7 linked regions of the Mus musculus genome follow. The protein of the gene in region 4 purifies or fractionates together with the protein of the main gene of each other region. This does not show direct contact. Links are inferred from orthologs where the notes say so. Each region holds a gene or a part of one and is shown on either strand. Other genes may lie near its edges. The genes, in order: Tgfbr1, Usp15, Acvr1b, Smad7, Wwp1, Itch and Tgfbr2.

Evidence for each region.
Region 1: the proteins of Smad7 (region 4) and Tgfbr1 purify together in Homo sapiens (affinity purification with western blotting; 19 studies listed by BioGRID). This does not show direct contact. The link is inferred for Mus musculus from reciprocal best matches to the Homo sapiens genes SMAD7 and TGFBR1.
Region 2: the proteins of Smad7 (region 4) and Usp15 purify together in Homo sapiens (affinity purification with western blotting; 3 studies listed by BioGRID). This does not show direct contact. The link is inferred for Mus musculus from reciprocal best matches to the Homo sapiens genes SMAD7 and USP15.
Region 3: the proteins of Smad7 (region 4) and Acvr1b purify together in Homo sapiens (affinity purification with western blotting; 3 studies listed by BioGRID and IntAct, with this or other methods). This does not show direct contact. The link is inferred for Mus musculus from reciprocal best matches to the Homo sapiens genes SMAD7 and ACVR1B.
Region 5: the proteins of Smad7 (region 4) and Wwp1 purify together in Homo sapiens (affinity purification with western blotting; 3 studies listed by BioGRID, with this or other methods). This does not show direct contact. The link is inferred for Mus musculus from reciprocal best matches to the Homo sapiens genes SMAD7 and WWP1.
Region 6: the proteins of Smad7 (region 4) and Itch purify together in Homo sapiens (affinity purification with western blotting; 4 studies listed by BioGRID and IntAct, with this or other methods). This does not show direct contact. The link is inferred for Mus musculus from reciprocal best matches to the Homo sapiens genes SMAD7 and ITCH.
Region 7: the proteins of Smad7 (region 4) and Tgfbr2 purify together in Homo sapiens (affinity purification with western blotting; 3 studies listed by BioGRID). This does not show direct contact. The link is inferred for Mus musculus from reciprocal best matches to the Homo sapiens genes SMAD7 and TGFBR2.

What each region holds. Positions count from the first base shown.
Region 1 is NC_000070.6:47,351,854-47,356,021, forward strand, and holds the start of Tgfbr1 (TGF-beta receptor type-1 isoform 1 precursor), read left to right. Parts: upstream 1-1,368; 5' UTR 1,369-1,458; coding exon 1,459-1,543; exon of another isoform or gene 1,544-2,385; intron 2,386-4,168. UniProt on the Homo sapiens protein: Transmembrane serine/threonine kinase forming with the TGF-beta type II serine/threonine kinase receptor, TGFBR2, the non-promiscuous receptor for the TGF-beta cytokines TGFB1, TGFB2 and TGFB3.
Region 2 is NC_000076.6:123,124,020-123,127,519, reverse strand, and holds part of Usp15 (ubiquitin carboxyl-terminal hydrolase 15), read left to right. Parts: intron 1-1,592; coding exon 1,593-1,708; intron 1,709-1,834; coding exon 1,835-2,107; intron 2,108-2,485; coding exon 2,486-2,556; intron 2,557-2,890; coding exon 2,891-3,006; intron 3,007-3,434; coding exon 3,435-3,500. UniProt on the Homo sapiens protein: Hydrolase that removes conjugated ubiquitin from target proteins and regulates various pathways such as the TGF-beta receptor signaling, NF-kappa-B and RNF41/NRDP1-PRKN pathways.
Region 3 is NC_000081.6:101,198,072-101,201,571, forward strand, and holds part of Acvr1b (activin receptor type-1B precursor), read left to right. Parts: intron 1-712; coding exon 713-943; intron 944-3,500. UniProt on the Homo sapiens protein: Transmembrane serine/threonine kinase activin type-1 receptor forming an activin receptor complex with activin receptor type-2 (ACVR2A or ACVR2B).
Region 4 is NC_000084.6:75,366,228-75,370,164, forward strand, and holds the start of Smad7 (mothers against decapentaplegic homolog 7), read left to right. Parts: upstream 1-1,137; 5' UTR 1,138-2,728; coding exon 2,729-3,341; intron 3,342-3,937. UniProt on the Homo sapiens protein: Antagonist of signaling by TGF-beta (transforming growth factor) type 1 receptor superfamily members; has been shown to inhibit TGF-beta (Transforming growth factor) and activin signaling by associating with their receptors thus preventing SMAD2 access.
Region 5 is NC_000070.6:19,625,505-19,629,004, forward strand, and holds part of Wwp1 (NEDD4-like E3 ubiquitin-protein ligase WWP1), read right to left. Parts: intron 2,502-3,500; coding exon 2,368-2,501; intron 2,270-2,367; coding exon 2,129-2,269; intron 1-2,128. UniProt on the Homo sapiens protein: E3 ubiquitin-protein ligase which accepts ubiquitin from an E2 ubiquitin-conjugating enzyme in the form of a thioester and then directly transfers the ubiquitin to targeted substrates.
Region 6 is NC_000068.7:155,132,031-155,136,280, forward strand, and holds the start of Itch (E3 ubiquitin-protein ligase Itchy), read left to right. Parts: upstream 1-1,450; 5' UTR 1,451-1,555; intron 1,556-4,250. UniProt on the Homo sapiens protein: Acts as an Acts as an E3 ubiquitin-protein ligase which accepts ubiquitin from an E2 ubiquitin-conjugating enzyme in the form of a thioester and then directly transfers the ubiquitin to targeted substrates.
Region 7 is NC_000075.6:116,126,864-116,130,363, reverse strand, and holds part of Tgfbr2 (TGF-beta receptor type-2 isoform 1 precursor), read left to right. Parts: intron 1-357; coding exon 358-548; intron 549-3,500. UniProt on the Homo sapiens protein: Transmembrane serine/threonine kinase forming with the TGF-beta type I serine/threonine kinase receptor, TGFBR1, the non-promiscuous receptor for the TGF-beta cytokines TGFB1, TGFB2 and TGFB3.

The sequences.
Region 1 (4,168 bases), on a different chromosome or scaffold from region 4:
GGCCAGGGGAGCCAGGGGAGGCAGGAACTGATGGTTCTGGAGTCCCAGAGAGCAGGCCTGTTCAGGTTCTGGCAGGTTGAGGACTTGCTGAAGCGTGTCCTAGCTGGAGCCGAGGAGCAGTCTCAGACCCCAGCTCTTAGCCCCCACGGTTTGCTTTCATAAGCAGGATCAAACTCTTGGAAAGTGGCTATAAAGCAATTTACCAACAGCTACTAGAGGCCGGCTGATTCCTACTACGGAGCTTTATTTAATTCCGAGTTCAAATCACACAGAAAATAACATTTTCTCCTTAAAAGGTTCTGCGGAAAAATGCTGTCGGTGCCATGCGGCCGCCTCCGTGACTGTGTTTGTGTCTGAAGAAAGGACTAGTCTGACAGGAAGAATTACAAATCTGGAGCTCATTTTGGCGTCCCAGAGGGAAGGTGGGTGGAGCGTCTCACAGTAAATTAGGAATTCAGAATGAAAGCGGAGCTGAGTTTATTTGGGTTTTTAGTGACACCTCGAAATTATTACACAGGAGTGTCGGAGACAACTCAAAGTACCTATGACTGCTCCCGCTTCGCCCCGGGGCGGGATGCTTCTTCGTAGGGCAATCCTCCCTCCTTCGAAACCCGTGGGCCTCTCCGCTTCCACGCGGGGACAGCAAAGGTGGGAGGGAAGGAGGGCGGCGGGGACCCTTAGTCTGGGTCTTTTTACGGTGCCGAGACACAGAGGCCACTCGGGGGTGTGTCTGAGCTCCACCTTGGGATTCCGAAACTGGGCTCCGACTTTGAGACTGGAATTTGGGGAGAGGACGACGAGGTCTGGGGCGGACGTGGAGTGCAGAAAGAAATCGGACTGTCTTTGCGGGGAGGCTGGAAGCCGCGGGTCTAGGGTGGGGGAAGTTGAACCCCGGACAATATTGAGGGTCCGAGTGGCGAGAGTTGGGTTTTGCGGGTGCAGGACTGTGCAGGGGAAGTCAGGGTGGGGTTGGAGTAGAAGAAAAGAGCGTGCAACGGTCACAGTCTTTCCCTGAGCAACTCTCACAGGCACACCCTGCGCTCAGTCGGGACCGTGGGCTCCCTCGGGCGCGCAGACTGGGACCCTGCCCCCACCCGCCGCGGGAGCGCGAGCTGCCCGCTGTGGCTGGAGTAAAGGCGCCCAGCGGTGAGGGGGCGTGGTCAGAGGCCCAGCAGTGCGGGGGCGTGGTTAGAGGCAGAAACCCACGGCCGCTCATTGGTAGCCCAGGGCCCCGCGGGCGGGGCTCTCGGCTAGGTCCCGCTAGGGCGCTCGCGGGCGGCGGGGGAGGCGGGGTCGGCGGGAGCCGGGCAGCCAATGGGCGTACGCCCCTCGAGCAGTTACAAAGGGCCGGAGCGAGGCCGCGGCGGCGGCGGGGAGGTGGGGCGAGGAGGGGCGAGGCTTCCTGAGGAGAAGCTGCGGCCGGGGCCGGGCCGGGCCACAAACAGTGGCGGCGGGACCATGGAGGCGGCGGCCGCTGCTCCACGTCGTCCGCAGCTCCTCATCGTGTTGGTGGCGGCGGCGACGCTGCTCCCGGGGGCGAAGGGTGAGTGGCGGGCGGGTGGCTGCGGGGCGCGCGGGCCGGGCCGGGCCTCTGGCTCGCTTCAGCTCTTTCTCAAACATGGCGCGGGGCCGGGGGCGCAGGTGGCGGCGCCCGGCCGGCCGGGCGCTCCTGACCCGGCAGGCGCCACGCGAGCCGGGGCGGGGAGGAGAGGCGGGGCGGGGGCGGTGTCGAGCGCGGGTGGCGGAGCACCGAGCAGAGGCCGGCCCTCTTGGGCTCCCGGGGGGCAGCGGCTGGCGAGCCTGCCGAGGTCGGGGGCTGCCCTTAGGGGTGCGAGGCCGGCCGGGACCGTGGCCCCCTGATTCCACTGCCTAAATGCGCCCCGGCCTGAAGCTGTTGGGGCGTGGGCGGGCACCGGCGTGGAGGCGCTCCGGGGCCGGGCGCTTGGAGGGCTCCCCGGAGGGTCGAAAGGGGCGCCGTGGGCAGAGACCCCGGGTGGGCCGCACCGCCGTGAGTGCCGACGCCCGCCTAGGGCGACTTTTCTTCAACCAGGGGCTTTGTGTGAGAAGCAGGCGCGAAGATGCGCGGAATGTTCTCGCTTCGTGAGTCTGGGAAGAGTTCAGAGTCCAGTAACCAGAAGGCTGCAGATTGTCTTCTTGCTAGTAGAAACTTGAACGTTTGCTCACTCTGCAGATTTGGGAACGTTTGAATGGGAACGGTTCTGTAGAATTGATCAAATTATTCCTTTTCTCGAGGGGATCGTTGCTTTGGGTGTATCATTTCCCTAAGCGGTAGTTTTAAAACCAGACCTCTGTGTAGCTGGGGTTTGAAGGGAAATGTGTGGTTTCCCAAAATATTAAAGCCGGTCGTGATACTGGTTGTCACCTCTGGAGGGAAGATTGAAAAAAACTTTGTCAGGAACCAATTAAAATAGGAGAAAGCAAAATACTGAGGCTCGGCATTAGCAACCTGCATACAGTGAAAATACATTTTTGTTGCGGAAATTGGATAACAACATTTTAAAAAGCAAAACAAGCCAAAACAAAAGTCTCTCCAGACTGTGGATGCCAACTATGATTAAACTTAATAGTTACTGTTTATTGGGAGTTGATTATAATGCAGATGTAAAAGACACAGTATCAGAACCCTCGCAGTACCAGTATTTGTCCTGTATATTGACATGAAAACTGAGGTGCAGAAGATTAAGTTCTTAGTAAGTGCAGAAATTAGGATTTGCACTTAGGCTTTCAGGGTTCAAAATCTGTGCACCTGTTACACCAAAGTAGCATGACTCACTTAAAGAACAGTTGATATTTGATAACATAACTTAGCCATCAGTTTCTTAGTTTACTTGAACATTCTCTTTACATAGGTCTACAGTAGAAGATACAATGGGTTTTTGACATTGGCTTAGGAAGGAAATAATGGTGGACAAAGTGGGAGAATTGTTATAATTATGCATCAACTATAAGTGACCATATCTAACAGTTATTTGGGTAAAGTAATTAATTCTTTTCTACCTAAAACAAAGCAGGACACGTTCATGCATTTAGCAGTATTGACGTGGATGCTGAGAAGGCTGGTTCATGTCCTGGAGGACTTTATAGCCTACTTAGGCAATGATGTAATACAAAATTAGCCTAGATGTTTTTATTGCTCAAAACCTAGACTAGTACTTCATAAACTTTCCCCATTTGCCACCCTCTTTTCTCAAAAGATTGTATGTGCCCATGAGTCACATACAAAATGTAAAAGATGGGTATATAAATCAAATGTACTGATAATAGAGCATAAATAAAATTATTTTAAAACAATTCATTGGTATATACAGTTTTACCATTTATTAAAGATTAAAGCACATTTCTGTAGTAATGAGATGGGTGAGTTTATTTTTTCTTAAAGAACTGAATCATCCAGTGCTGGCGACTCCACATAATTACAGATGTTTAGGACCATTTCAGAAATTGTTGCAATTCTATCTTAATCACAAGATGAGATTTATGTAATAATTTTTAAAATGAAATTTAAGTCAGCAACTTAAACAGCAGTTTTTAAAATCAGACATTTTAACACAATACAATTGGTCAAGGATATACCACTTTGATATACATGAGGAATGAAAGTCTTTTCTGTAGTTTGTGTATGTTTCTGGAAGAATAGAAAACTTTGTATATTCAATAAAAACATTAAAACTCATAAAATAATAGTCTGGACTGTGTTAGCACTGCATAGCACGATAGCATGTGTGTTTAGAACCAAGACTGTAGTGAAGTTGCATCTTGCAACATAAGCATGGATTGCCAGAAACACCTCAGATTCATTACTCAGTTGATTTTGAATTAATTTTGGGGTGTTATACATTCACAAGTCCTTTACTGTTGCCAGATTGTTATATGACCCAGCATCTCTATGTGGAATTAGGAATCAGTTTAAGCTATGGCCTGCAGGGCACTGTGGCTCATGCCTTTAATCTCAGCACTCAGCAGATTCTGATCTCATAGTGAGTTCTAGGACATCATAATATAGAGGTCTTATCTCAACCCCACCCCCCAAAAAGAAGACGCTAGACCTAGATAAGTTCACCTTGTCTCATTTCGTTAGGTTGTTTCAGTGTAGCCTTTTATACATTCTGAAGAAATGCACAGCTTTTCTTTATAATTTAGCTTCTCT
Region 2 (3,500 bases), on a different chromosome or scaffold from region 4:
AGAAGGTGGTGATGTACATCTGTAATCTCAGCCTTAGGTGTGACCCACTGCGTGAACAGGACTTAGGGTACATACCTGTAACCCCAGCACTTCTGACACAGAACTGGGACAACCAGGGATTCTTATTCTACCTTTTGGTTTTCTGAGACAGGGTTTCTCTGTGCAGCCCTGGCTGTCCTGGAACTCAGAAATCCGCCTGCCTCTGCTTCTGCCTCCTGAGTGCTGGGATTAAAGGCATGCGCCACCACACCTGGCTTCTATTTTTTTTTTTTTTAATTTATTTATTATATGTAAGTACACTGTAGCTGTCTTCAGGCACTCCAGAAGAGGGCATCAGATTTCATTACGGATGGTTGTGAGCCACCATGTGGTTGCTGGGATTTGAACTCGGGACCTTCGGAAGAGCAGTCGGCGCTCTTAACCACTGAGCCATCTCGCCAGCCCCCTACTTTTTTTACATAGCAAACTTGAGGACAACCTGGGCTACAAAAAGAGTACCAAAGTAAATAATAAAGTAAAAGTAAAATTACATTCTAATCCATTGACCTGGTCACATAAAATTCATTACTGATATTTCAAATTTGTGAACCCAATCCTTAGCTGTTTTACACCAGTGGGAAGGCAGTTCTGGTTGGCCAATGACTAATATTAGTTCAGAGCAGAAATCCTAGTAAATCTCAGATGGCAGCTGGTTCAAAACGTCACAGCAGTATTAACAGGTGACATGGTGAGACAGTACCCCCCCACACACACACATACACACACACACACTGCTTTTTATAAACCTTAATGTGAATAAGGTAATGGCAAATACCATTAGACGTCTTCTCTTATCCTTTATACCTGACATATTTTATATTTCCTATATACCAAAGCATGGTAATTTCATGACCCATGTATAAAGATAACAATACACACATGTGAGGGCCGCTTATGAAGTTCTTGTTTTAAGTTGAGAAATGATCCACTGTGCTACATCTTTAATATATAAAATATGGGAAATCCCAAGATGAAGAGACAATTCAGTAGGTAAGATAAGGCTGCTTGCCACCAGGCTAGCAATCCACATTCAGTCCCTGAGGCCAATGTGGTAGAAGGGGAGAACCAGTGACTACAGGTGTCCTTGGGCCTCCATCTCCACACACCTGATGTACATGCATACACACACACACACACACACACACACACACACACACACACACAAATGTAATTAAACGTAATTAAATTAAAGCAGACCGTGCAGCGAGGTGTGGGGGCAAATACCTTTAATCCCAGAACTGAGATGGCAGAGCTGAGAGAGGTAGGAGTTCAATGCTAGCCTAGTCTACATAGAGTTCACGCCAGCCTCAGAGAGACAATGAGACCTGTCTCAGAAACAAACAAACAAGCCTACAGGTATAAGGGGGGAAAACCCTAGAAGTAAACAGTCCCCTTTTGTATTAAAACCACACAGATACAGATGATGACTCAGCTTTACTTCAGTGTGAGGTCTTGAGGTTAAGTTAACGTAGCTGGTTTTCTTAAGTCAAATGCAAAGTTAATTTTCTAGCAGGCTCATTTATTACCTGATTTTTAAAAATTTCTTTTTGTAGCCGGTATGTCAAAATGTCTACTGAAACTGAGGAAACAGATGGACACCTACGTTGCTGTGAGGACCAGAATATTAATGGGAATGGGCCAAATGGCCTACATGAAGAGGGTTCACCAAGTAAGACTTGTTCTAAGTCCTCCTTCCCCCACCCAGAGCACACGAGTCGCTGTAGGAGAGCAGTGCCAGTGACTCGGAAGTGCACTGCAGGGTTATTTAAAGGCCTCCCTTCTTCCTTACACTAAGGTGAGATGGAAACCGACGAGCCAGATGACGAGTCCAGCCAGGATCAAGAGCTTCCCTCAGAGAACGAGAACAGTCAGTCTGAAGATTCAGTCGGAGGAGATAACGATTCTGAAAATGGATTGTGCACTGAAGAAACATGCAAAGGTCAACTTACGGGACACAAAAAGCGCTTGTTTACATTCCAGTTCAACAACTTAGGCAACAATGACATCAACTACATCAAAGACGACACCAGTCACATCCGATTCGATGACAGGCAGCTTCGGCTGGACGGTGAGTATCTGAGAATGGCGTGGACACTGAACTTGAGCAGAGCAAATTATTGTTTAGGTCAGAGACCATGAAATTTAGACCTGTCTTGAACAAAAGGACGTTTGCTTATCTATAAGTAATAATTAAAAGCCTTAATGAATGCCTTCAACAGTGGCAGTGTTTATCAAAGTCTGTGTGTTTAAGCTTTGTATCACTTCACCGCTCAGATTATTTATGTCAGCGGCATGGGTGCAGCTCTCAGGCTTGCCCTGACCGCCTAGTGCAAGTAGAAACATGCTGGGGTTCCTCTTCTATGGTGTATGTGTTGGCACGAAGATACGCTTATTTTAACATTTAAATCTTACAACATTTTTAATGAAAAAAATTTTTTCACCTCAGAAAGATCTTTTCTCGCTTTGGACTGGGACCCTGACTTGAAGAAGAGATACTTTGATGAGAATGCTGCAGAGGTAAGGCCTTGTCGTCTTCTGCTCTCTCTCACTCTCTCTCTGTAACTAGGAGTTAATGATACTCTTCCTTCTACCTTTGCTTCTACGGATACGTTGATTTTAGCAGAAAACAAGGTTAAGCTACTTAGTCGTTAAGGTGTAGTTGGTCTTGAACATGCTTTCCCTGAGGTTAGTCAGCCAGAGGCTCACTCAGAAGGGGCCGCGTGACCTGTCAGTGGGCGTAAGCTCTGGGATGCTTCTGAAAGTTGGCATTGTTGATAAGACATAGTTCACCTATGACTAAGAGTAGTTTCATTTCACTTGTTCTCATAACTCAAGAAATACATCTCTTTAGGATTTTGAAAAACATGAAAGTGTGGAATACAAACCTCCAAAAAGGCCCTTTGTGAAGTTAAAAGACTGCATTGAGCTCTTCACCACCAAGGAGAAGCTGGGTGCTGAGGACCCCTGGTAAGAGCCGGACACGCGCTGTCTGCGTCCTCCCTGGAGGGCGTGTGCTGGGCGGGCGGGCGGGCCGGCCAAGACTGGCTTTCCTTGGCATTTGAGTGCGGTGTCTTTATATAATAAGCTCTGGTCTAAAGAAGGATGCTGATGGCTCTGTGAAGTATCAGAGTGGAACCTTCATTCTCAGGACTGTATTGTCTTCTCCCTAATAAACCACTTTCATCCTTCCTCTGAGTATTTCTTTATAAAGCTCATGTGAAAATGTAGAGGATTAATGTCGTGAGGAATTGCTTGCATGTTCATTTCTGTTAGGTTTACAATAATTACTCACTGCTAAGATGGAGAACCTGCCCATGCGGTGACTTTGGTTCATAGTTTTCAGTAATGCAGGCATGGTTCTGCCTCTGTCAAGCGCTATGATTTCTTCTTGATAGGTATTGTCCAAATTGTAAAGAGCATCAGCAAGCCACAAAGAAATTAGATCTGTGGTCCCTGCCTCC
Region 3 (3,500 bases), on a different chromosome or scaffold from region 4:
GAATTTCTGTAAAGCCCTGGCGGAGACACACGTGCATGTTAAGCACACAGTAAATCCAGCAAACCTAGGGTTACTAACAGCTGTTATTTGGTCCAGTGAGAGAATGGAAGTCAGTCATGATAGATAAGGGGATTGGATAGAAGGAGAGATAGACATCAGATGAGTCAAATGAAGCAATGATGAGCCCTACAAGGCAGTAAACTGAGTCATGAATTAGTGTGGGTAGTCCCCAGTCTACACTGGAGCTTCCTGCTCTTCCTCTGCAGAGCTACGTACCCTGTGTGCTTCCACCATAGGTCTGCTTTGTTGGCCACACAGCATCGCCCTCTAGTGGCTAGTGAGCAGGGTGGCCAGAAGGCAGTGCCCAACTCAGGAGTCTGCTACATTCTTCCTGTTACACCAGAATAAAGCAGCCATCAGTGAGTTGGTAACTCTAGTCAAAGATTTACATGTAGTCTTTCATCCGTATAGCCTGGAGGGGAAGTCCTGGCTAAGGGCAGCTAGCATGTGTTTTTCTGTGCTGACTTGTGCTTAGCCTGCTGGTAAACCACCTAGCATGGCTCCTGCCTTGCTATAGCATCCTGTGGCTATTGGGCCAGGGAGAGTGGAGAGACACCTGGTGGAGGGCCTTTCTGGGGGTGTATATTGTGTGGCAGGCCCAGAGTTTGGCAAAATTGCAGTGTCAGATTTTTCTCTATTCTTTGGCCTACAGGGTTACCCCTTTTTGTCCAGCGCACAGTGGCCCGAACCATTGTTTTACAAGAGATTATCGGCAAGGGCCGGTTCGGGGAAGTATGGCGTGGTCGCTGGAGGGGTGGTGACGTGGCTGTGAAAATCTTCTCTTCTCGTGAAGAACGGTCTTGGTTCCGTGAAGCAGAGATCTACCAGACCGTCATGCTGCGCCATGAAAACATCCTTGGCTTTATTGCTGCTGACAATAAAGGTACTGTGTCCCAAAGTCAGTGGCCACTTGTTGGCGCTAGAGAGGCCTGGCTGCTCTGCTCTGCTGCACACAGCAGGTCTGAATAAGACCATAGTTCTAAACCCACTTTAAATGTGGAGCATTTTATGCCAAGATGCTCACACGGAACCTGGGTTATTGCGTAGCTAAGAAGGCCTCCCATGCCCCACAGGCTTTTCTTCCTCTATCCCTTGATTTGCTCTCCGATCTGCACCCAGCATGGCCCCCATTGGGACTCCCGTGTGTTTGTTTTGAAAACTGCTACAATAGGAATTACGTTCTCACCTGCCTGGGCAGGTGGCAGAGACACATACACGGTCTACAACACAGCACAAGCGTTACACACACTGTCGTAGGGAAGCCACCATAAGCAGACACTGGCCTTTCAGTGTCACCTCATAGCTATGAGACTGGTTTCGGTCTGTTTTATACCTAGAGCCCCAGAGCTTCTGCTGCCGGTCCTCCCCCTCCTCTATCCCCTCTCCTTCCCCTCTCTATCCCCTCTCCTTCCCCTCTCTATCCCCTCTCCTTCCCCTCTCTATCCCCTCTCCTTTCCCTCTCTATCCCCTCTCCTCCCTCCTCTTATCTCCTCTCCTCCCCCTCTATCCCCTCTCCTCCCTCCTCTATCCCCTCTCCTCCCCCCCTCTCTCCTCTCTCCTCCCTCCTCTCTCCTCTCTCCTCCCCCCTCTATCCCCTCTCTTTTCTATCCCCTTTCCTCCCCCCCCACCTCGTTTTTTCTCCTTTGTCATAAGGCAGACTAGACATATAGGACAGCCTAGCCACAAATGTACAGTCTCTCTGTCTCAGCCTTTTATATACATGGGAGAAGCAGGGGAGGGGTAGACAGAGACAAGGTTATGCTGGACTTTTGTGCGTGCCCATGCCCGTGTGTGTGTATGTGTGTGTGTGTGTGTGTGTGTGTGTGTGTGTGTGTGTGTGTGTGTTAACACATACTATGTTGTGTGGCCTGTAATTCTAGTTCCAGGGGATATCATGCCCTCTTTTGGCATCTGCTGGTACTTGCATGAATGTACACATAGCCCTACAAAGACACACCATACACACACACCTGGCATTTGGTACCCCTGGAACACAGAAATTATGAGGGCACTGAGTTGTGTTTTAGAAGTGTCTGGCAGTTGTGACACACTTCCCTCTGCAGCACAATGACTAGAGGCTAGTGTCCACAGATGTATGGGGAATGCCAGCTGAGCGTGTTCTTCAGAGTGCTGCGGGGCTGCAGGTCCCTGGCTGCCCAACAGCTGAAGAGCCCTGGGTGTTAGTGCAGGGGAAGAAGAGACGGTCTCAGCCCTCTGAGGAGCTGCTGCTATCCCAGACGTCTTAGAGTCATTAAAAGGCTCCAACTGTCCTATGGCAGGTCATGGCCTCCTCAGAAAGGAGTTACTGGTTAGAATATGGCCCTCTTTGGGGTCAGAGCTGACAAGGTTGAGACATTTCTAGCAGCCAGCCTTTATTGATTCTGGAAGCTTGTATGAGTTGGGATCTGAGTTAGGGCCAGGAAAGGAGGGAGTCAGACCCCTTTGTTCTTGCCTTGTTACCATGATATAGCCAGTGTGAGGCCCTGGGATTAGCACCAGCCTAGAATTTGGAAGCTTTCAGCCCAGTTTCTAATCTTCCTAGCAACAGCAGCAAGCTTAGCCAGATTGATCAGTGTTGCTTTCTCCTCTCCCTGTCCTCCGTCCTGCCACCCCAAAGTGAAAGAGAGGGGTCAGCAAGCTCCCTGCCTTCCACTGCTTTCCTGAAGGGCAAGATGGCCTTTGTGGGAGTGCTCAGAGCATTCCTGGCTCTGCAACAGGGATGCACAAATGGGATCCTTCTGCTCTCATCATGGCCCTTGGCCTGAGAATGGACACCAAGTGGAAGGAGACATTTCCAGTGAGACAGGTGCTGCACTGGGTCATGATCGAGGGAGGAGTGCAGGCAAGAGCGGGCTCTCCTCCTGGGCAGCAGTGGGTGGAGCACGGAGAGCCTCCTGTCAGAGCGAGGAAGCAAGCCATCAATCGGTAACAAACTGAACCTGCACATTCCAGACTTGGCGATAAAGTGGCGCTGCTGAGCATCTTCCTCACTGACTGGGCTACTTGCTTGTCTCTCTAATAAGACCCCACAGCCAAGTGGCGCACGCCTTTAATCCCAGCACAGAGAAGGCAGAGGCAGGTGGATCTCTGAGTTCAAGGCCAGCCTGGTCTATAGAGCTACACAGAGAAACCCTGTCTCAAAAACAAACAAAAAACAAAAACAGGGCTGAAGAGATGGCTCAGTGGTTAAGAACACTGGCTTCTCTTCTAGAGGTCCTGAGTTCAGTTCCCAGCAACTCCATGGTGGCTCACAACCACCTGTAATGGGATCTGATGCCCTCTTCTGGCATATAGGTGTGCATGCAGATAGAGCATTCATACATAAAATAAATAAAACTTAAAAAACAAAATAACACAAATAATGGCAATAACACATAACACTACTACTACTAATAATAATAAAGACACCACGGCCTGAGTGACTTCCAGAGCGGTTTGCT
Region 4 (3,937 bases):
CTTTTCAAAAACCTACTAAATATGTCAGGTTGGATCACCATGCCAACTAGTTGTCTCAGTAACATTTAACACTCTAGTACTATCCTCAGACCTGCTCCACGGACTTTTGCTTGACAAATACCTTTTCTACTTCCTAGCAATCACTTGCATCTGGGGATAGCTTTCTCTGGAACCTATGGTGAAGGAATAAACTCTCTGACCCTAAGCAGGCCCCGCATGCGATTGGATGCTCTAAGCAGGTCTGCTGGCTGGGCAAGGTTAGCGCGCCGGGAGGCCGAGTGGCGGGTGCCGGAGGTCTTCCAGGCCGGGAGGAAACCTGCCGGCGGCGCGCGGGCGAGCTGCACCCCTCCTCCCTCCAGGATGCTGCCCCTCGCTGCTCGTCAGCCTGCCAAATGCATTCCAGAGCTGTGCACAAGACACACTTCTCCAGGCAGTCCTAGAAACCCGAGCCCGGAGCGGGAGAGGGCGGGAGGGAGCGCGGCGGCCGCTGAGGTCACATTCGCGCCGCCTCTCCGCCCTCGGCCGCCCGGCTGTTCCCTCTAGCGCACACTTCCCAGGGCCTCCGTCCTGGCCGGTGTAAATGTCTTTGAAACAGACAGCGATCTCCTCCCCTTTCCAAGGGATCCGCCGCCAGGGCCTTAAAACAAAACGAATGAATGAAGCGCCCGGGCGAGCTCTGCTGGTCTAAATCGGGCCACTAACCGGCTCATTCCGCTCCAAACTCGCCCGCTCCATGCCCCCAGCTCTTCCGATTTCCCCCTGCTCCCGCTGGGTCTCCGCCGACCCCCGGGGCCGTCTCGGCCTCCCACCTCCCTCCACCGTGGGTACCCCTCTCTAGACCTGGGAGAGGGTGGCAGTAACTGGGAGGGGGGTTGAAATAGCTTTTAGAAACCCGATCTGTTGTTTGCGAAACACAATCGCTTTTTTTTTTTTTTAAAGCGACAGGGTGTCTAGACGGCCACGTGACGAGGCCGGAGCCGGGCGCGCCACTGCGCAGTGGAACCAGCCGAGCAGAGGGACGGGTGGGGGGGCGGGAAGGAGGCGGCGGCGGCTGGGGGCGGGGGAGGGAGGGGTAGAGGGGGGAGGGAAGGGGGCGGAGGCGGGAGGCCTTGCGGGAGGCGGCGAGCCCTGGGCACATTCGCTCGCTGATCGGCGCACAGAGGATCTTGTCCCCGAGCTGCGCCAGCAGAGCCAGCCGGGCGCCTCGCTCGGTCCGCTCGCCGCGCCGGAGAGAGCTGCCTGAGACGCAGCCAGCCAGCCAGCCGGCGCCACGCCGCCGAGCGCTCGGCCCCGGAGTCCCTGAGTGCGGCGCGGCGAGCCCCCAGCGGCGGCAGAAGGACTCGAGCGCCAGGAGAGGGCGGACGGGGGACGAGGAGGCTCCGGGGCGCGACGAAGAGAGTCTCCGAGGAAGAGGCTGCGAGAGGACACCCGGGCCTCCTGCCGCCACTGTCGGGTCGGGGCCAGCAGCTCATGAGAGCAGCCCCGGCGGCCACCCGCGGCCAGGAGAAGGAGCACCGGAGGCCCCCACACTAGCCTGTGCCCTCGGGGGCGAGAGCTTGCGACCCGCCGGAGCCCGCCGCCGCGCCGCCCTCCCCCGCGCTGACAGCCCCCCGGGGCGCAGCCGCCGCCGCAGCATCTTCTGTCCCTGCTTCCCCAGCGCGGAGGAAGTCCCCGCCGAGGACCTGGGCCCCCGGGAACGCAGGAGGAAAGACCAGAGACTCTAAAACACCCAGATACGCAAGATTGAAGCAGCCTAGCCAGACCTTTCTGTGGATTAAAAGAAATACGATTTTTTTTTTTTTTTTGGCAGAAGAAAAGGAAAGGAAGACCGGCTGGGTTCAGCAAGGAAAAAAAGGGGGATGTAACTCGTGGATACGGTTTTTTTCCCCCACCCTTCCAACATCTTGTTTTACTTTGTAAACATTTTCTCTTTTAAACCCGGGCTCCATCCGGTGCCCTCCAGACCTCCGAGGTGCGAGGAGGTGGTGTGTTTTTTCATTGGGGGCTTTGCATATTTTGGTTTTGGGGGTTTTGAGAGACCCTCCAGACATCTCACGAGGGGTGAAGTCTACTCGGTCCCCTCCCTCAAGTCTTCGCGTGCACAGAATTCGAGGAGATCCGGTTACTAAGGATATAGAAGAAAAAAAATAAATCGTGCCTGCCTTTTTTTTTTAATTGCCTGCTTCTCCCCACCCCCAAATTAAGTTGCTTAGCAAGGGGGAAAGAGGCTTTTTCCTCCCTTTAGTAGCTCAGCCTAACGTCTTTCGTTTTTTTTTTTTTTTTTTTGCCCCCGAGGATCTTCCATGTAGGAAGCCGAGGCTGGCGAGCCCGACACTCGGGAGCCACTGTAGGGGGGCCTTTTTTGGGGGAGGCGTCTACCGGGGTTGCCTCGGCCGCCCCCAGGGAAGCGGCGGCCGCGTTCCTCCAGGGCACGCCGGGGCCCGAAAGCCGCGCAGGGCGCGGGCCGCGCCGGGTGGGGCAGCCGAAGCGCAGCCCCCCGATCCCCGGCAGGCGCCCCTGGGCCCCCGCGCGCGCCCCGGCCTCTGGGAGACTGGCGCATGCCACGGAGCGCCCCTCGGGCCGCCGCCGCTTCTGCCCGGGCCCCTGCTGTTGCTGCTGTCGCCTGCGCCTGCTGCCCCAACTCGGCGCCCGACTTCTTCATGGTGTGCGGAGGTCATGTTCGCTCCTTAGCCGGCAAACGACTTTTCTCCTCGCCTCCTCGCCCCGCATGTTCAGGACCAAACGATCTGCGCTCGTCCGGCGTCTCTGGAGGAGCCGTGCGCCCGGCGGCGAGGACGAGGAGGAGGGCGTGGGGGGTGGCGGCGGAGGAGGCGAGCTGCGGGGAGAAGGGGCGACGGACGGCCGGGCTTATGGGGCTGGTGGCGGCGGTGCGGGCAGGGCTGGCTGCTGCCTGGGCAAGGCAGTCCGAGGTGCCAAAGGTCACCACCATCCCCATCCCCCAACCTCGGGTGCCGGGGCGGCCGGGGGCGCCGAGGCGGATCTGAAGGCGCTCACGCACTCGGTGCTCAAGAAACTCAAGGAGCGGCAGCTGGAGCTGCTGCTTCAGGCCGTGGAGTCCCGCGGCGGTACGCGCACCGCGTGCCTCCTGCTGCCCGGCCGCCTGGACTGCAGGCTGGGCCCGGGGGCGCCCGCCAGCGCGCAGCCCGCGCAGCCGCCCTCGTCCTACTCGCTCCCCCTCCTGCTGTGCAAAGTGTTCAGGTGGCCGGATCTCAGGCATTCCTCGGAAGTCAAGAGGCTGTGTTGCTGTGAATCTTACGGGAAGATCAACCCCGAGCTGGTGTGCTGCAACCCCCATCACCTTAGTCGACTCTGTGAACTAGGTAAGAAGTTGTTCTGAGTCCACCTTTCGTTCCCTCTGGCGTGGAAATGCTCGAGGATGTGTGTATAACCTCCTGGAGGAGACAAGGAATCTAAGTCAGAGAAGGGACCAGGGGAAGCTTGGGGTTCCCTCTAAGATTTTTCTCTATTGCACCCCACCCCCCCACCCCCCGCCTCCAGAGGAGGGGACCCAGGGTTACTACTGCTTATCCTTCTACTGAATAGACATGCTGCAGAAAATGAGACAGTCTAATTTCCGGGTCTGCAAGGGGGTACAGAGTAAAGTGGGGAATCCGGCTTCCCCCGCACCCGGAAAGGCGATGAGGTGTGTGGCCGAGTTGGATTCGACCCAAGCCCGCCAAGGAAGGCTGGGAGAAACTAGCTTTAAAGGCTGGAAAGTCTCTCCTTTAGTAAATAAGGACAGTCACGTGGGACACGAGTGGCCCAGATACTGTCCTGGCCTCACAGCTTTGGAGTTTGGGGGCAGTGGTAGGATGGAGACTGAACTGGGTATCCAGTCTCAGCTGTGCGAGCTTCGGGGTGAGAAGGAACAGCTTGGAGAAGTTGGGTGGCCTCGACTTTTAATCTTTATTTCGCA
Region 5 (3,500 bases), on a different chromosome or scaffold from region 4:
TATACAGAAACACAGTCAGAAAAATAAATGGCCTGGCTAAAAACAGAGACATGAATCAATTTGATAAAATACAGGCCCTAGAGTTAAAAAGCCACTTGACTTTCGTCTAATGAATGGGCAGTTCTTGAAAGATGAGGAACAAATGGAAAAAAAAACAAAAACAAAAACAACAATGTTCAACATCACTAGTCATCACAGAAATGCAAATTAACACTACACAGAGATTCCATCTTACCCCAGAGTTGCTAACAAAGAGAAAACAACAAATGCTAGCAAGGAAGCAGAGAAAAGAGCATCCTTACACACTGCCGCTGAGCATGTAATCTGGCTTGCTTCTATAGTAACTACTAAAAGACAAAAACAGGAAAGAGGACTAATTGCTTACCAAATACCATACAGCCATGGAAATATGCATACAATTAACATCATACAGACTGAATAGGTTATATTTAGGAATATATACGCATATACATATAAACATGTAACAACAGTTAATGAAAGCATGGGTCCATGAATTTGAAGGAGAGCAGAGGTACATGGGAGAGGGCTTGAAGGGAGGGATAAGAAGAGAGAAATAATCTAATTATATTTATAATCTCAACTTGATGAAAATGCGTAAAGTTAGAAATGATTATGTTTAGTGAAATAAACCAGACAGAAAAGCAAAGGTTTCATGCTTCCCTTTTTTCAGAAAGGTATATATTCGTTACTTTTTTCTTCAAAGATGTGTTCTTATTTTAAGTGGATGAATATTTGCCTGCACATATGTTATATGTACCATGTGAATGCCTGGTGCCTGCAGAGGACAGAGTCGGATCTGGAACTAGAGTTACAAATGGTTGCGCGCTACCATGTAGGTTCTGGGAACCAAACTGGAGTTTAGTACACAGGAGCAGCAAATGCTCTTAACTACTGAGCCAATTTTCTAGCTGTCCTGTGACAGGAAAATAGAAAACGAACTGGGAAAGGATAAGAGTAGCTGAAGGCAGTAAGGCTAGGGGGAGGAAATGCAAGACTGAACATACTCAAAGCCCATGGTTACTTAAAACTTCTTTGTACAACCCAGCAGCATACATACTGAATAGATGCCAATAAAATATTTATTATGTACAAGCTAAAAATTGGGATTGTGGGCTGTGTGTGTTGGTACACACCTTTATTCCCAGCAAACGTAGGTGGGTCTCTGATTTTGAGTCTGGGTTGGTCTATAGAACAAATACCACAACAGCCAAAGCTACATAGAGAACCCTTTCTTGCAAAGCCAAAATAAATAAATACTAAAACTTTTCAAGAGTAGTGTGGGATGAAATGTCAGTGAAAGGGGAGTTCCCAGACACAATTCTGCCCATTCCTGGCATAGCTTCAGTCCCTTCATCTGTAAACGAGGAGGCTACATCGCCTTTGCAAAATACTTTACGTTAAATTTTTATCATAAAGAACTTAAAAATAAAAAATTCATACACCAAAATTAACCAGACCCCACATCTATTGATCGTTATAAACATTCTGAAGCTGTGAAGCTTCACACTGGATTTTCACTATTGAATATTTGCATGCATTTATCCATCACCAAAAAATGGCAGATTTAAAACTAGAAAAAATATACTTTATATCCTCTTTTATGAATCAAGTTTCAGTTACCTACATTCATTCAGTCTTTCACTATCATCTCTGATAAGTTACTCTTTCCTGTTCTCTTCTTCAGGTTATACTATCCCGAAGTGCACTTTTACACACACACACACACACACACACACACACACACATTGCATTGTATATGTATATGTGTAATAGGCTAGGAGAACATACAACTTTTCTTTCTGAGATTTTGAAGACTGGAAATCGCTTTCAGCAGCATGTTGTCATGGCTTCTGACTTGGTCAGAAGCGAGACTGCCTATTGCGAATGCACATGGGAAAGTGACTAACGATATGCATTGTTCGAGCAAACTCGAGCAGGATCTGGATCAGCACAGAGCACAAGGACCTGAGCCAGCGGAGAAAGAACCTGACGAGAGTTTTCCATGTGTTTCATAAAAACTACTAAGGTTAAGAGTGTAAATATAGGATATTTCTAATTATATCCCATACCTTCTACAGAATGAATTCAATCAGCTCTATCAACCTACCCAATATATTCATCTTTGTTTTCTTCCGTCACCAGGATATTGGAACCTCCCAACTTTAAATCATGTGAAGTAACTTTTCCCAGAATCTCCATGTCTACAGAAAAGTACATTTCTAAGCCACATTCTTCAATATTGTTATCTCTGGATAAAAAAAAAAAAAATAGTGTGAGTGTGCATATAAACACAGTATAGGAATGGGTTTCAAGTAATTACTTCTATTACAAAAAAAAACTTCAAACCTTATCCAGATTAGAGAGTTGTAAAATTCAGTATCAATAGATTCCAAATCCTTAATAGTAAGTTTTTTACTTAGCATACGCTTGTAGAATGGTAAAGAGAAACCAGTATCAATAAACTTTCCATGGAACAGTGCCTGTTAAAAACAAACAAAACATTTTATTTAAACTTACAAAATAATAATCTTTATAGCATAGTGACAATATAGAAATCATGCAGCTTTACATATTAAAAAGCACTATTCAATGGTATAAAATGTGAAGATTAGCATACTATGCAATGCATAGAAAACTACAATGAAAACATTTATTTCATAGGTCAAACATAATGTACATAAAAACTATAAAGAGATGATGAGACTTTATTACCAAATTCTGCCACTTTTAAATATTTTTAGTAATTAACTTAAACACAGAAATAAAAAGCCCATGTACTTTGTTCCATTCCTTTATTAATCTGTAGGACCCCTGTGTCTTCATGCCTACATACAGCATGAATACAGGAAGACACCAATGATTTTTGAATCCATAATATCTAAAACTATTTGCAGACCCTTAATCTGTTTACATTAAATCAATAAATCATGAAATTATCTTCTTATATAGCTTCAAACCCTCCCCAATGTATTTCTAACAAACTCCCAAATCTAGACAAAATCAATTAAGAATTTATACTGCCTATATAGTGGTAGAACATGCTAGAAGTACATATAGCAAGCTAGCTAGCTATGACCAGCAACCTCATAGAAGCATGTTTACTCACGACATTCAGTTTCCCTGTCTCAGATGACTACGAACTGCTATTCCTTTGTCCTCAAATACTTACTAAACTTACTGCACACAGGAAATGGTAACCGGGAGCACATTTGTGTAGTCTACCCATCTGCTCACCACTAGCATCTCAACTCTCATACTCCTATTGCAAGTAAACTTTCTACCACTTTTGTGAGCAATACAAACTTCTCCCTTTGATTCAAGGTCATTTGCCAATACTTCTTATATTACGGGGTTCATCCAGTTCTTTTTCCTCATCTGGGCTTGGTGGCTATAACCAGCACACAGGAGGTTGGGGTAGGCTATCAACCTAAGCTACAATATCAGAATCCTATTAATTGTTACCAAATTCTCTAGGATAC
Region 6 (4,250 bases), on a different chromosome or scaffold from region 4:
AAATAATAAAGTAACAAAATATATTTATAATATTTGTTAAAATATCTTATAGTATGCCCAGTGACAAGAATCATCTGGGATGCTAGTTTAAAAAACAAAACAAAACGAAACAAGAAACCAACCCAGATTCTCCTAGAGCACACCACTCTCTCAATATTGGGGATAAAATCTTGGGCCTCATCAATGCTATGTAAGTATCTACTAGTGAGTTACATCTTGAGCCAACTCTTACAGCTTAATCCCTAATGTGGCAAACATTGGCTGGAAGTGCAGAAGAACTTTTAAATACTTAAACACACCAAACCAAAACTAAAAAACAAAAACAAAATCCCAAAAACCCAAACCCAGGGTTTCACCACGTAACCTCGGTTGGTCTAGAACTCTCAAGATATTTGGACATGGCTAGCCTTGAACCCACAGAGATCCATTTGTCTCTGTCTTCTAATGGAACCTGAAGCTTGCTGTGTGGTCTAGGGCGTTGACTAGGGAGCTCCTATGTCTGCCCACCACTGTTAGGGGTCCGTTGGTGCCAGCTTTTATATGAATGCTGGGGTTTCAAACATCCTTGTGCTTGCATGGCAAGAGCCTTTACCCACTGAACCATCCTCCCAACTCAGAATCTTTTTTGTTTAATAAACTCAGCACATAATTCATAATATGGTAGTTTCAAAGGTATTTCGAAAAGTTTAAGTGACTTTCTAGATAGTTTCCTTACGAGGAAACAGGATAAACAATAATAGCAAAGTTTGCTAATTATCACGTGCCTCTATTATTACCACTGCACAGCCTATTAATTCGGTAGGATTAGATGTGTTTTGCCTGGGTTAAGAAGTTTAATTTAAGCATCTGAAAAGGTAACCAATGGCATCTTTCACATAGTTTTGTTGTAAACGTTTAGAAGTATGCTTTTCAGTTTTTATAACTCATGCCGCCTTGGCGCTGTCAAGCTGTCACCCTCCTAAGAACTTCCTGTCAAAAGGTGGAGAAAGGAGAATTTGAACCCAAACAGTGTAACTCCAGAAGGATAGAACCGGCACAGTGCTTCATAAATTGTGATTCCTGCTGTTAGGAGTATCAGGAGAGAACTTGATAAAAATGCAGATTATAAAGCAACCCCTATTCCATCCCAGATCTACTGAGTCAGAAACTGGCGGTGGAGCTCAGCAGTCTGTTTTTAAAAGCTGTTCAAGTGATTCTGAGACACGCTAGCATTTGGTAACAGTCTTTAGAGGTCCTGGCGGGGAAGAAGGGGTCAAAAGGAAGGAACGAAAGAAGAAAGGAAAGAAGGGAGAAAGGAAAGGAGAAAGGAAGGAAGAAAAGAAAAAAGCCTTGGAGATGTAGAGAGCAAGGCTTAGTGTCCACTTCACCTGGAGGTGAGGAAAAATGATTTAGGAGGCTGGCGCGCAAGGCCTGCTGGGGCCTGTAGTCCGGACTGCGCCGAGGAGGCCGCGCCTGCGCACTAGGTGTGAAGTAGCTCTAGTCGCTGTAGTCGGGGCTCGGGACCGGCTGCCATCTTAGCGGAGGGACTGAGGAGTCGTCGCCGCCCCGAGTCCCGGTAAACACGCGCAGGCAGACTGGGGTCATTTCTGTGGCTTGGAGGGAGTTTGGATGAAAAGGCATGGGGAATGCGAAGGGTAGAGGAGTGTGGCGCTCGAGTCTGGACCTAGAGCCGGGGCTGCTCTTCCCGCAGCCGGTGTCCGTGGGGGGCGCCCGGAGAGCCGGCTGGTGGCCCGAGCCGAGTGGCGGGTGGGTCAGCAGGTCGAGCCGAACTGCTAGTGCTTGGCCTAGGCGTCCGGAGCCTGTAGGCCCGCGAGCCCCAAGTTGGGAGAGAGCCGAGCCGCGGCGGACGTGGGCAGGGTCCAGCCCCGCGCCCCGCTGCCGCGCCCGGGGGTTCCTCTCCCGCGGCCCGGCCTACGCGCGGGGCCCGGTGGCAGCGGCCCGCCCGCGCGACGTGGCCCTTTGAGGGGCGGCGGCCGGGCCCACCTGCCACCTGGCAGGCTCCCCCCGAGACTTTTCCAAGCTCCCACTCGCAGAGGACCTTCCCCAGTGACTGCTTCCCCTTCTGTCTTGTACTTCCCTCCTCCCTCCATTGTCCCCACTCATGGTGGTCCCGGCCCAGGCCGGCGCCACCGACTTTTGCAGACGTGGAGCTGTCACAGCCCTTTCTACCGAGAGCGTACTTTTCTTGAGCAAAGAAAAAAGTAGAGGTGAGCGCATTTGAAAGGTGGAAGCCCAATGAGGGCAGGACTTTTAAATAGAAGACTTGAGTTTTGAGACATAGTTCCCGGCTGCAACTTCAAGAGAGAAAAAAAATATATAAGGGTCAGTGCACCCGAAGTAGGCATTGGGCCTAAAGTTAGAGATGTGACCAGGTGACTTGCAAAGTACCCCAAATTCACAGTTCCCCACTCGCTTGTTTTCTTGGCTGTGTTAGAATCCTAATCCTGTTGAGACTTCTGTTCCTCTTTAAGCTGCAGTGAACTTGTTCTAAAGGGGGCAGTGGGGAGAAGAGGGAGGTTTTCTTCTTCACAGTTGACAGAACACCATCTAGCCACCCATCATCATTCTCTTAAGTGGGTGGTTCTCCTGTATCCTTATCTTAAGAAAGTAGGTAAAGGCTGTGTATGTTCACTCCCAGGATTGGCAGAGGGCTTGGTTCTCATCTGAAATAAAGTCTTTTGGGGGCAAGTTTGAGATTCAGCCTTGTGTATCACAGGGTTACCTAAGGCTTAATTTTGCAGGTTTAAAAAAGATTGAAATTTTCTTTTGAACAGTGAATATACTTTGTATGTGTGAGTTCAGGAATTCAAACTTCAGATGTCAACAAGGATATATATACTATGAATCCAAAAGCAAGTGCCTAATACTTTTTACTGTATTCTAGAGTAAATTCTACATTCTTTAAAACAAACAAACAAACAAACAAAACAACAACAAAGATTTACTTAAGAGACAGACTGATCCATGGTCCCAAGGTTTGGCCATTAGTGTAATTACAAGAGCTTTTAATTTTTTTGTTTTTGTTTTGAGACATGATTTGCTCTGTATCGCTGACTGGACTAGAACACACTGTGTGTAAACCTAGGCTGGCATCAAACGTCATTCTGTCTTCCTGCCTCTCCCTCCCAAGTGCTGGGATTATAGGTGCTTAACCAACAGAGTGGGCTCGGGAGAAGTTTTGAGATTTGTTTATTTGTGTGTGTGTATGTGTGCATGCGCACACCATGACTTGAGTTGGAAGTCAAGAGTGTTTCCTCTTTCCTGTGTGTTCTAGGGTTCACACTCAGGTCATCAGGCTTGCATAGCAAGTGACTTTCCTTGCTGAGCTATTTTGCTGGACCAGGAGAGATTTTTGAAAGTAGAGTTTTCAGCTCAGTTGGTAGAGTGCTTGTTTACCACACACAAGGCCCAAGTTTATTTAGCTCTCAGAAGCATTGGGAGGTGAGGCCGCCTGAAGTACTTGAGACCCTTTTTAAAAAAGTAGATGCTCTCAGGTCTCAGTTTTGAGATAGAATAGTGGGTCTGGATTGGCTTCTATAACTTTACTTACAGATGGGCTGTAGGTAGTTGGGATGGTTTTGGGAACACTGAGGCAAATCATAGTATGGTTATAACAAAGACAGCACAAAAAGCTTTGAGATGGGGGAGGAAGTGGAAGTGGCCTGTGTGGGATTGTTGAGGGAAGTGGCAAGACCTATGTATGAAGGTCAACATGGTTAGTTCCAGGCCATCACAGCTACCTAGTGGGTCCTGGCTCAAAAAAGGGTTAGTCTATGGACCCGAGGTTCTAGAGCAGTGGTTCTCAAGCTGGGTTTTGGCCCCTTTGGCAAGCCTCTAGCTCCAAAAATATTTACATTGTAATTCATAACAGTAGCAAAATTACAATTATGAAGAAGCAGCAAAAAATAATGTTATGGTTGGAGCTGGTAAGCCCCATGAGGGACTGTACAGCATGAGGAACTGTATTAAAGGGTCACAGCCTTAGGAGGGTTGAGAAGCAGTGGGTTAGAGGATGAGTAGGAATGGGGCAGAGGTGAAGAAAGGGAAGGAAATACCTTACTACCTCGAGGCGTGTGTCAGTTAGGAAGGTGGGAGAAAAGGAGCGCAGGGTGTGGGATGCAGGGGCCTCAGGACCAGGAGGGCAAAAGGACCTGTTCTGGAAAAGCTCTGCGTACAGTGCTAATGCTCGTGAATTTGATGTCGTGAGAGATCAAGGCTTGGGGAAAGGAAGTGGTCTAAGTTGGTGTTTA
Region 7 (3,500 bases), on a different chromosome or scaffold from region 4:
ATAACCAAGGGGGGCATCCCCTGCAGAATAGCACTGGATGTTGATCTCTGGCCTCCACATGCATGTGGGCACAGGTACACATCTCTGCACACATACATGTATACCAAAGATAAAAAGAAAGAGATCTACCACCATGTCTACAAGGATAGCTATCTTGTCTGTAATCATAATCAGGCTCTGAGGTGAGCAGAAGGTGGAGAGAGATAAACGAAGCCGGTGCAGGAGAGTTTGGGACACTCAAGTGGAAACCACTTCCTAAGGAATGCACAGACTCAACTGCTCTATCCAGAGACTGGTCATTCATCGTCCCCTCTTTCTGTCCCTCTCTCTTGTCTTCAACAAACCTCTGTGCCCCAGGAGGAAGAACGACAAGAACATTACTCTGGAGACGGTTTGCCACGACCCCAAGCTCACCTACCACGGCTTCACTCTGGAAGATGCCGCTTCTCCCAAGTGTGTCATGAAGGAAAAGAAAAGGGCGGGCGAGACTTTCTTCATGTGTGCCTGTAACATGGAAGAGTGCAACGATTACATCATCTTTTCGGAAGGTGAGTAGTTATCCCGGGTAACAGTCCTCCAGGGGAGCACTGCTGTGTGGAGCACGGAGAGGACAGAGGAACTCAAGAAGCAGTGGGCTCCATGCTTGCCCTTCTCAGATTTGATTCCCATCTTGGTACCTGGCCCTGACAAGCAATTTCTGTCCTCCAGAGCGATGGTTCTTTTCCCAAGCTCATTCTCAGGGCATCTGCAGCAGCTGGGGATTGTTAGCAGTGGAGATTATTAGTATTATTTAAAATTTATTTTCTCTCTGTGTGTGTGCATGGATTTGTGGCTGTGTGCATAGTATATGTGCACATTTGTGCTCATGTGTATGACGTCCAGAAGCCAACTTTGGAAGCCACTCCTTAGCAGCCATCCACCTTGCTTTTTGAAGCAGGATCTTTTACTATGGCAAGATTAGTTTGGGCTGGCTGGCCTAAGATACCACTCTATACAGAATTATGGATAAGTAATAAATGCACACATGTTACTGAGATACTTTTAGTTAATTAATTACCCTGTATGTTCATTTATTTTCCTTGAGGCATTCACTGTGCTACTCATTAGCCTGTGATTCACTAAGCACAGCCCAGGTTGGCCTCAAATTTGGAATCTCCTGAGTGCTGGGACTGCAGGCCTGAATATTCTTTGACGTTCCTTTCCTTCATCTATTATTTCCTTGAAATGAAACAGCCTTTGAAAAGCGCAGTTGCTGGAGCCTAAGGAATGTGCACAATGGACCAACAGCTCCATGGTCTGGAGACCCGCCTCTCTCTGACTCCCAGTAGCTTCCCTCATGCCCTTTGGCAAAGAGTTCCTACTGGGACTCATATTCTTGCTGTTTTACATCTGTTTTTTGTTTTTAGTTTTTGTTTTTTTGTTTCCTGCCTGTGTTTTGTGACTTCCAATTAAAACCAATAGCCATGACCTTGACACAAATCCTTTAAAGTATGGATGTTGGGTGCCCTCAGTGTTTGAAGGCATGATGTTACTATTCCAGATGCCCCAACCTCTAGATGTATGTATGTATGTGTGTATATATGTATGTATGTGTGTATAGACAATCTATGGGCAGTCAGACAGACAGACAGAGATTGGCAGGTCTTTTTTTTTTTTTAACCTATCTACCTGCTACATGCCAGTCCCTTCAGAAGAAGGGACAGATTACAGAGAGACCTTGTCATCTAGTCAGAAAGCCATCCAGGTATCCCCAGCCTGAAGCCTGCAGGCTACATGTGCACCAGGATAGCTATGAATAGAGACCAAAGCAATATCATAAACATCCTTAAAACTCTGTAGGATGTGTTTTGTGATTTGTTTATGTTTTACTTTGGGCGTGACTGATTGCATGGTTCTCCAGCATGAACTTTGTAGATCACACTGTCAAAAGGCTGGGCATGTCTGGAAATGTTAAAAAAAAATGGGCCTTTGCTTTCTCTGGCATCTCCTACCAGCCTCCCGTGGCAGCAGGCTTTGTGTGATGTCTGGTGGCTTCAGTGCATCTTGCATTGGCCAAGGAGAAAGAAGAGGAGAAAGCAGCAGAAACAGAGGGAACACTAGCCAGAAACTGCCCGCTCTTCAGAGCTGTCCCCAACACAGCTCCCTAGAACTGTCCCCAACACAGCTCCCTTGCCTTCTCTGGAGAACGCTTTAACTGGGGGGACCTGAGAACCTACCCAATACTCATCTAAATTCAGAATGCAAATTAGTAGAGGGGGTGTCATGATGGCCATCTGACAGCCATCCGTCAGCAAGACTTGATAGGTGCCAGAACAGAAGTTTAGTCTAGCTGGGCGTGGTGGCGCACACCTTTAATCCCAGTACGTGGGAGGCAGAGGCAGGTGAATTTCTGAGTTCGAGGCCAGCCTGGTTTACAGATTGAGTTCCAGGACAGCCAAGGCTACACAGAGAAACCCTGTCTCAAGAAATCAAAAACAACAACAACAACAACAACAAAAAGTGTAGTCTAAGATGTAGCAGGGCAAGTGTTATCAGGAGTGGCTGTCTTATAACCGCAAGATGGCACGCTAATTTTGCAAGACATTTATGTTTCGTTTTTGGTGTTTTATATGTGTACATGTGGTGTCTGTGTGTGTGTGTATGCACATCTGCATACAAGTGTGCACGTTCATGTGGACGTTGATACTGGTTCTCTTTTTCTATCACTTTCAACCTTGTATGTTGAGCCAGACTCCCCCTGAACTCAGAACTCACCATTGGGCTTGGGTGGTTAGCCATCTTTGCCCTGGGGATTCCTGTCTCTGCTTCTGGAGAGCTGGGATTATGAGAGGGTTGCCACACTAGCTGGCTTTATGTGGGTTTTGGGGATCCAAACCCTGTTCCCCGTGCTTTGAATGCAGCAAGCACTTTACCTGGTGTGAAGTCTCTCCATACCTTTTGCAAGTCACCTGCTGATCTCTGCCTTCACTGCTAGGACTCAAAGGCGCTCACTGACCTGCTTGTTTCTTGGTTGGGTTCATTAGTTCCTTTCTTGCCCCATCCCTCTCTTCATTCTTTCCTTCCTTCCTATGTAGATAAAGTCTTATGCATCCCAGGCTGGTTTTGAGTTCATTATCTAACTGAGGATGATCTTGAACTCCTGACCCCCTTGCTCTACCACCCAAGTCTCAGGGTTATTTACGCTGGGCACCAAGCCTACTCAGCTTCTATAAGTGTATTAGCGATCTGAACTCTGGTCTTTATGCTGTGTGGCAAACACTTCATCTACTAAGCCACCTTCCCAGCCACACATTGTTTTTGAGACAGGGTCTCTTGATGATTCAGAACTCAGCAAGGAGGTTACATTGGACATTGAGCTCCAGGGATCCTTCAGTCTCCACTTCCCGGATGTTAGAGTAAGTGGCTTCAGGTCCGTTCTGGCATCTGGGTTCAACAGCTGAGTTCCAGCCAGGCCCTTTGAACACAGCATCCAGTAGCCTGGGTACCACACCACAGGCACA